Linked DNA regions of Canis lupus familiaris. The main gene of each other region encodes a partner of the protein of the gene in region 2 in a complex. Links are inferred from orthologs where the notes say so. Each region holds a gene or a part of one and is shown on either strand. Other genes may lie near its edges.

The links.
Region 1: the proteins of APLNR (region 2) and APLN are in contact, whole or in part, in a cryo-EM structure (PDB 8XZG), measured with the Homo sapiens proteins. The link is inferred for Canis lupus familiaris from reciprocal best matches to the Homo sapiens genes APLNR and APLN. Residues at the interface, in NP_005152.1 of Homo sapiens: Tyr35, Phe78, Trp85, Tyr88, Thr89, Tyr93, Ser106, Ile109, Phe110, Met113, Pro163, Val164, Arg168, Gln180, Cys181, Tyr182, Met183, Tyr185, Glu194, Glu198, Leu201, Gly202, Ser205, Tyr264, Lys268, Tyr271, Ser275, Cys281, Asp284, Leu285; in NP_059109.3 of Homo sapiens: Arg66, Pro67, Arg68, Leu69, Ser70, His71, Lys72, Gly73, Pro74, Met75, Pro76, Phe77.

The regions. Positions count from the first base shown.
Region 1 is NC_049260.1:101,760,252-101,764,052, forward strand, and holds part of APLN (apelin), read right to left. Parts: intron 259-3,801; coding exon 92-258; 3' UTR 87-91; intron 1-86. UniProt on the Homo sapiens protein: Peptide hormone that functions as endogenous ligand for the G-protein-coupled apelin receptor (APLNR/APJ), that plays a role in cadiovascular homeostasis. Functions as a balanced agonist activating both G(i) protein pathway and beta-arrestin pathway of APLNR.
Region 2 is NC_049239.1:39,344,391-39,348,898, reverse strand, and holds the start of APLNR (apelin receptor), read right to left. Parts: upstream 2,826-4,508; 5' UTR 2,406-2,825; coding exon 1,266-2,405; 3' UTR 1-1,265. UniProt on the Homo sapiens protein: G protein-coupled receptor for peptide hormones apelin (APLN) and apelin receptor early endogenous ligand (APELA/ELA), that plays a role in the regulation of normal cardiovascular function and fluid homeostasis.

The DNA.
Region 1 (3,801 bases), on a different chromosome or scaffold from region 2:
GCAATAAGCAGCAGGGTCACTCAACTTCCGGGCTTTCCCTCCCCTGCTCCTTCCGCTGCCCACTGACTAGAGAGAGGCTCAAGTACCTGCTTCAGAAAGGCATGGGGCCCTTATGGGAGAGGCGTGGCCGCTGACGGCGAAATTTCTTCCGACCGCCCTGCCAGGGCCCCGGTCCGTTTCTCGAGCCTCTGGGCTGCACCAGGTGGCGGATATTGCCTTCCTCCAGCGCCTTGCCGTCAGAAGGCTGCAGCAGCGGCCCTGCAGGAAGAGGAAAGCCTGTTAGCTAGGGAGGCTGATGCGAATGGACAGAGGGCTGCGGGCTCACGGTAGGGGCAACGTCTCCACGAGGTAGTACTCATTGAAGCTTCCCTTTGGTTTTATCTTCCATCTTGGTGAACAGTTTGCAATTTTTACACTGGCCTGGGCCAAACCTACTACTCATATCTCGTAATTTATGGAGCTGACTTTATGTCCTTTTGGCAGTTCTACCACGTTTCTGGCAGGGACAAACGTGTTCTTCATTTAGAACATCATTGGGGGGGTACAATCTGGAGCATATGTCTGTACTTGGTTAGGGCACAGCAAGCAAGAACTCCCCATGGCACCCTTATCACAGATGCACTTCAAACATTTCACGCATACAATGAAATGAATCCCCTACCACCACATACCCATCACCCGGGTTCAACAGCTATCCAGATGGAGTCACATATGCATTAGTTATCCCTTTTCTCTTTTTTCTTAGTGGAAGTATTTTACAGCAAATCCAGAACACCATGTCATTGTGCTCTGACATCCTTCAATAGGCAGGTGACCCACTTTGAGATCTCCTACCTCACCCCTGGGCACCTCATCAGTGTTTCAGCCTCACTAAGGCTCCCTTGTTCCCTGTCATCTCCCTGTGGGTATGGCTGGGGTGGGGAGTCATCTCTGGTTCTGTGAGCCTTAAGCTGGGTTCTATTCAGCCTGTGACCAGATTTAGAGGCCAATAAATATTATCAGAATGAATGAGTGACCCAGTGAGTGGACGGCCACTTGAAGCAGCAAGTCTGTGCATCAGGAGGGGTGTAGGCTACTGTTACTGGCACTTCCCCACCGAATGCCTGTCTCCTTTCATCCCCAGATCACACTTCTACCCTGTGTCTGATGTAAATTCCTTCCATTTAAATTCCAGTTCTCTTCTACTCTCTGGGACTCTGCTCTACATCTGTCCACATCTGGCTTAGAGTAGAAGCCTCCAAATGCCAGGCCAAGGCCTGACAAGAGAATCCAAGTGGTGCTGGATGCTCTTGAGTGTAGTGAGGGAGGCTCTCATAAAGGCTGCAGGACAGCCACGGAAGGTGGGCTTGCACTTCAGAAACATGCCTGGCCTCTGGAAGCAGGAAGAACAGGCAGATGAGATGGTGTTGGGCAGAAGGTGGACTTGCAGGGAACTTGTGCAATGCCAAGTCCAGGGCTGGCCTGCAGAAATATGGCTTCTGAGGTCAGTGATCGCAAATCCCAGTCTCTCTCCTCCCACACCACCGGATTCGCCTTCAGCTGTATCCCTGCCCCTAAAGCCCCATTTCCATCCATCCAGGCATCCCCACAACTAGCTCACAGTTTCCATATAACCACCCGTTGGCTGCTAGCCCCCCAGTCATGCCCCTGGCTGCTCTTCCTTTCCCTCCTCCTGTCTCCAGCATCCCCATGCTCTGGTTCCTCTGTTGGCTCCTTGGCTCTAGTGATTCCTCCTCCGTTTGCACACAATTTCCAGGCATTTATCCTCCTCTTGGGCCAAAAGCAGGCGAGGCTTGTCCTTTGGGCCCTCCCCACCCAGGCTCCCAGGGCCTGCTGCTCTCTCAGACACGCAAGCCCACTGCGCACATGCGCACACTCTAGTCCTCCACCCACCTTCCCCAAGAAAAGTCACAGGCCCATTAGGATCCCACTGCTTGCCAGCCACACTTCCGTGCTTCTGGTTGGGGTAGGTTAATGTGTCAGCTCATCCCCTAATAAGAATTAAAACCCATCACCGCAAATGAGACAATGAAAACACAAATTATATTCGCACTTTGGGGAGGTAGGGCAGGAGGCCACTTCTGTCTGTCATAAAGCCATTTGCAAAAGGGCTGGACTGGGGAAGGAGAGAGGAGGGAAGGGCCTTCACTAAGTGCCTCCCCACCCCACTCCCAAACTCAGGTGCTACAGCTTCTGCCTTGTGTTTTGGGGTCCCCTCAAGGCTCTCCCTGACAACTGAGGGGGATAGGAATGATGCTGATGAGGAGTCATACTCAGGGTGGGAAGGACTGTGCTGAGGGTGTGGCCAGGCACAGGGAAGGACCCTAGGGGCCTTGGGTTCTTCAGTTCATGCCCTCTACTACTGGGGGTGAGTGAGGGTGGGCCGATGGCACAGGCACAGCCCCACGGGTAGAGTGGGCATGGAGAAGAGGGTAGGGGAGGACATTACCTCAAAATATTCAGTACTTAGGACTGTGAGTGTTGCTGGCAGTAAGGGAGGGAAGGCTAGGGTTGAAAGGCCTTAAGTGGGGGAAGGCCGAGAACCAGGATGGAGAACAGGGAGAGTGGCTCAGACTCTGGCCAGGGAGACATCTAGACTTCAAGCCTGTAGAAAACCCCCCTGAGCTTCCTGAACAATCAGCCAACCCCCAGAAAGCAGCCACCCAGAAAGCCCCTGGCACGTTGCATCCCATCGGGTGGGGGGCTCACTGTCTTCTTTGTAGCCTGAAGTCTGTAGCTCCTCCCACACCATGATCCCATCACCCACCTGTTTCCTCCTACTTTGGATTCTGAGTCTGGTTCACCCTGAGATAAGCTGACACCTGAAACCCAGGCTTTATCCTGTCCAACTTAGAGGCTGTTGATTCTCATCACTGCAAAGGTCCTGGCTGCCCCAAAGAATCTCCCCTCTAGAAACAGGGGCCATTCTCAGTATGCTTCAATATTCTCTTCTAACTCATTTGCTACTTAGAGGGAGGCTGGGGCAACTCCCTGGAAGAATCTGAAGCCCAAAGGGCCTGGAGCCCCTGCTCTCTGAAGCACCATCAGAAGGAAGCCTGAAGGAAGCCTCAGCAGCTCTCCACGGAGCACCACAGCCAGGGGTGGACAGGGTTTGATGGTTGTGCAGTGTAAACTCCCAACCCCGCCTGCCCATGCACAAAGAGGTGTGTGTGACTTTCCAGGAACATGCCAGCCTCACCAGGAATGACGCACCTGTTTCTCCTCTTGCCGTCCAGTCTATCTTGTGACTGCTTTCAAAGCCCACATGGGTGCTGTGGCAGCGACCCCGCTGACTATGCCCCCTCCACTGTTCTATGTATGATATGGCAGCTCTCTCCAACTGAGGCACCCGTCCTTGGTCCGCTTAGCACCGCTGTCTCCCCCTTGGCCGGAGCTATCTTCCCATGCCAGCTCTGCTGCCCTTGGACACACCACATTCTGGCAGCCTGGCCATTCACTTCACATGCATTAGTCTTTTGCCCCAGAGGCCTGACTCAGGTTACAGGAGTGCTTAGCACTTAGGGACTGGGGATGGAGGAGAGATGCCCCCTCCCTGAGAGGGTGAGGTACAGTAGGCTGTCTTCACACTAGCACTGTGACTGCAGGCTTGGAGCTATGGCTGAGGAGGTGGGGAGAAGGTGGAGGAAAAGGAAGGGGAGAGAGGGGGGCAGGAAGGGGAGAGAGGTGCTCAGACAAAGACCAAGGGACACTTGGCCCTGGCCCAGCAGCTCTCCGACTCGGAAGAGCAAGGTGTATCCCAGGTCAGGAGGCAGTGGAGGAGTTTGAGTGTGTTCAGTGAAG
Region 2 (4,508 bases):
GCCGTCAGAGCCCCCAAATCCAGTGGGGGAAGGGGTGAATTCATTTTTGTTCTATATTGCCTCACTATGTCCCTCTTTCCCCAAGGATGCTGCGTGCAGAGTGGAGAAGTGGTAGAGAGTAAAGAGTAGAGAGTAGGGGGGTAGTTCACCCAAGTGACGAGTGACACAGGCACACTGCTCTTCCTGTTATACTCATCTGTGTACACACACAAGCACACACACACGCACACACATAACTCTTGGCACCCAGCAACACCAGTGCTCAAGAAAAGTGTCCTGCCTGGAGATGCCAGGCTGTGGTGGGGAGACCTACAGGTCCCAGTTCTGGAGAAGGTCGGAGGGGTGAGGAATTGGAAAGGGAAGCCAAGCAGCATATAGACTAAATACGGACTCCCTTCTTCCTCGACGTTGCCTTCCCGACTCCCCACTCATAGAATGACACCTAGGAGCCGGCAGTCCCATCACCAACCCCGTGGACTTCCGATTGCCATGGGGAATAGAGGTTGAATGAGAGGAAATCTGCAAAAAAAGCACATCTAGTTGGCATGAAGGAGGGGCTGCAGGAAGCGAGGCCCCCTTCTGGGATCCTTAGTGCCCGAAACTACAGTGAAATGGTCCGGTTTGCAAGAAAGTTCTGGAGCTCCCAGCTGCAGAGCCTGGAACTAACTTTGCTGACACCAGCCCCGGTCCCTCCTTCACTCTCGGGGAGCCAGAGAGTGTGTGCAAGCTTCAGGATTCTTAACCCTTGGAAGCCCTGCAGAACCAGGGAGGTGAATAGGGGAAGAAGGAGGGATTAAAGAGGAGGTGTGCCCCGGAGACCGGGTTGGAGCCAGCAGGTGACAATTCGGGCTGGAAAGTGCAGACAGAGGAGAAAGTAGGGGCAGGGAGAAGGGACAGGGCATTAGGAAGAAAGGAGGGAAAAGGAAAAGCTGGAGATCCAAGAAAAGGAGTGGGGGCAACCCAGTTCAGTTGAGCCAGCACAACTTCCCTTGTTTTATATACAAATGGGGAAACGGAGGCCCAGAGGGGTCAAGACACTCGTGCAAGGTCCGTCTCACGGATACCGAGTGGCCGAGCAGGAGCCTGCAGGGCTCAGTGTCCTCCCACTCAACCACAAACCTCTGAACAAGCCTCAAGAAGGAAGGAAGACAAGAGGGGGCAGGGGGGCAGGGAGCAGGGGAAAGGGTGGAGTGAGAGGGAGAAGGTGCTGTCATGCTACCTGACTTTCAGAGAGCAGGGGAAGGCCGGGCAGGCCCCAGCCCTAGTCAACCACGAGGGTCTCTTGGCTGTAGGGGATGGACTTCTCGTGCATCTGCTCTGCACCCTTCCCCGAGTTGGGGCCAGGGCCCCTGGCTGTGGCCGGAGGAGTAGCTGGCCGACTTCTCCCCGCTGCTGCTGTGGGAGGCCGCGCCGCACCTGCTCCGGCCGCAGCAGAGCATGGACGCGCAGGCCTGGCGGAAGCGCGGGTCGAAGAAGGCGTAGAGGAAGGGGTTGAGGCAGCTGTTGACGTAGCTGATGCAGGTGCAGTAGGGGAAGACGTTCATGAGGAAGATGTCCAGGTCGCAGGGCCAGTGCAGCAGGCCGCCCAGCATGTAGAGCGTCTTCACCAGGTGGTAGGGCATCCAGCAGAGCGCGAAGGTCACCACCAGCACCACGATGATGCTGAGCAGCCGCCGCCGCTTCCGCAGGCCCTCGATGCGCTCCTTGCGGAAGTGGCCGGCGATGGTTTGGGCGATGAAGAAGTAGCAGGTGAGCATGACGGTGAAGGGCACCACGAAGCCCACGGCGGTGGACGACACCCCCAGGCCCACCTCCCAGGCCCACTCGGAGCTGGCGGCGGCCACCATGGAGTAGTCCATGTAGCACTGCACCTTGGTGCTGTTCTCCAGGTCCCCGGTGGAGCGGAACACCATGACCGGCAGGGCCAGCAGGGCGGCGAGCACCCACAGCACCGCCGTGGCCACGGCCCCGCTGACCCGCAGCCTCAGGCGAGCGTTGGCCACGGGCCTCACGATGGCCAGGTAGCGGTCGAAGCTGAGCCCGGTGAGGCAGAAGACGCTGGCGTACATGTTGACGAAGATCACGTAGCTGCTGAGCTTGCAGGCGAAGGTGCCGAAGGGCCAGTCATAGCCCCGGTACGTGTAGGTGGCCCAGAGCGGCAGGGTCACCACGAAGGTCAGGTCGGCCACGGCCAGGCTGGCGATGAAGATGTCTGCTGAGCGCCTCTTCTCGCGGCCGCTGCGGAACACGGTCCAGAGCACCAGGCCGTTGCCCGTGGTGCCCAGGAGGAAGACCAGCATGTAGATGGCGGGGATGAGGGCGCCCGACGACTTCCAGTCCGCGTACTCGCACTCGGACTGGTTGTCGGCGCCGTAGTAGTTGTCGAAATCGCCAGCCTCCTCCATGCCGGCAGCGGACAGAGGCCGGGCGGGGGCCCCAGGCGGGAAGGGCCGAGGGTGTCCAGAGCCCCCCCAGGGAGCCGCCGAGGAGCTGCCTGGGGCCCAGCCGTCCCCCCACCCTCTCCTGCCGAGTCCCCGAGTCCCCAGTCCCGGCCTCAGCCAAGCCGCTTCCCTGCGCCCTCCTGAGTCTCTGTCTCCTCCGTGTCTGGTCACTCCCTCCTCCCACCTCCAGACCAACCCCTCACTTGGGAGTCTTAAGATCTTTAAGTTACAGCCCACTTTCTTTTTTTTTTTTTCCCTCCTTCTCCTCCCTGGGCAAGTGGACCGAATGGAGCCCTGCTGCCCTGGGCAGAATATTATCTGGGGCTTGCAGCCTGCCCTCCTCCCGGCCCCGCCTCCACCCTCTGGCTGCCACCCACCTTCTTCCCAGCCTCAGCCTCGGGCTCTGCTTTCCTCTGGCCTTTGGAGCAGCCCCTCCACAGACCTCCTCACCCTCCCATTCTCACCCCCTCCCATCCACTAGAAATGGGGCGAATTATGCAGATTGAAATGGAGCCCGAGCTGGAGCCAGGACGGGTGGGGGGCAAGGAGGGTGTGAGATTTCGCAGGATGTTCTGAGCATCTGGCAAGCCCTCCCCGCAGGCAGGCGGGTCTGGCCCCCACCCTCCCCCTCCTGCCCTCCCAGCCCCCACGCAGACCAGACCTCACTCCTCTCTTCCCCCCCCCTCATGGCCATCCTCCTTTACACCTCCACACTTTGACCCCCTCTCTGGAAACTTTTATGGTTTACAGACACAGTTAAGGGGCTTTCTCCAGGATTCATGCGAGGTTGGCAGACCGCCGCCGTTTGCAGATGGCCTGGGAAGTTTTAGAGGGTGGAGGACAAAGTCGCAGGAGAAAGAAAGTCCAGACAAAAGTCATTAAGTCAGGTGATTAAATCTGCGGGGAAACGGAGGCCTAACAAGGCAAATGTCTTGCTCCAAGTCACAGGGATGAATCTCGCTACAGTTCTGTGGTTTGCTTTCCTTCCTTTCCAAGCACCTGCCTCTGCTTACCAGATAGTAGGTGATCACTAAATGATGGAGTGAGCTAAGGGATGGATGGACTGGTTGCTGGTGGAAAGAAAAGCCCGTAGGCTCTGGGAACCTCAGACACACTTCAATCTTCGGGGACCAGCTCTCTGTGAGACCAGCAGCCAGAGGAGGAGGCAAGGGAGGGGCAGCCACTGAGGGGATGCTATGGGCACAGTCCCGGACAAACTCACTTTGCCCCATCTGTTCAGCTTTCCAGGACCTCTGGGCAGGAACAAGGGAAGGCCACACAAGATTTCATTCTTAAGTATACCTCTCGTGAGTGGAGGAGTCCGTCTAAGGTTGGGCAGGGATAAGATGGCACAAAATCAGGAGATAAGTCATGGCCCCATCCAAAGTAAAAGGCTTATAAAACAAGAATCCCTTGTCTCAAAGGAGGGATGGTCGGAAACCCTCGTGCAGGGGTCTGCAAACTCAAATACTCACAAGGAGCTGGTTCAGAGGGTCATGCATCTTATATGTGCTTACTATCTCCTTTAATTGGCACGACTTTGGAAAGTAGGCACTCCTATTAATCTCCACTTACGGATAAGGAAACGAAGGCACGGGGAAGTGAGGTCATAGCCAAGGTCACTCGGCTGGTAATTGTCAGAGCCAGATTTTGAACCAAGGCTTGAGCACATAGACTAAACCTCAAGTTCTCCCACCCACCCACCTACCCGCAAAAAAAAAAAAAAAAAAAAAGAAAGAAAGAAAGAAAGAAAGAAAGAAAGAAAAGAAAAAAGAAACCTCAACCCTTTTTAGATTGGCAAGGTTTGTCATCTGCTGAGCATCATAGAAATGTAGGATCACACTAGGATACCTGTGATTCACATTAAAATAAGCTCTCTTGAGAGAAATGTTTTAAAGATTGACTAAAATATTTTAGAGATCCTCCCCACTCTCCTGATTGAACGGGTTCTGAGAAGCCCAGCCAGGCAATCATTGGGGGTTGGCACCATAGCATGGTCCGGAAACTGCCCCGTGGCCAACCACCTCCAAAGAGGATTCCTGGTCACCTGAGGCCAGCAGGAAAGCC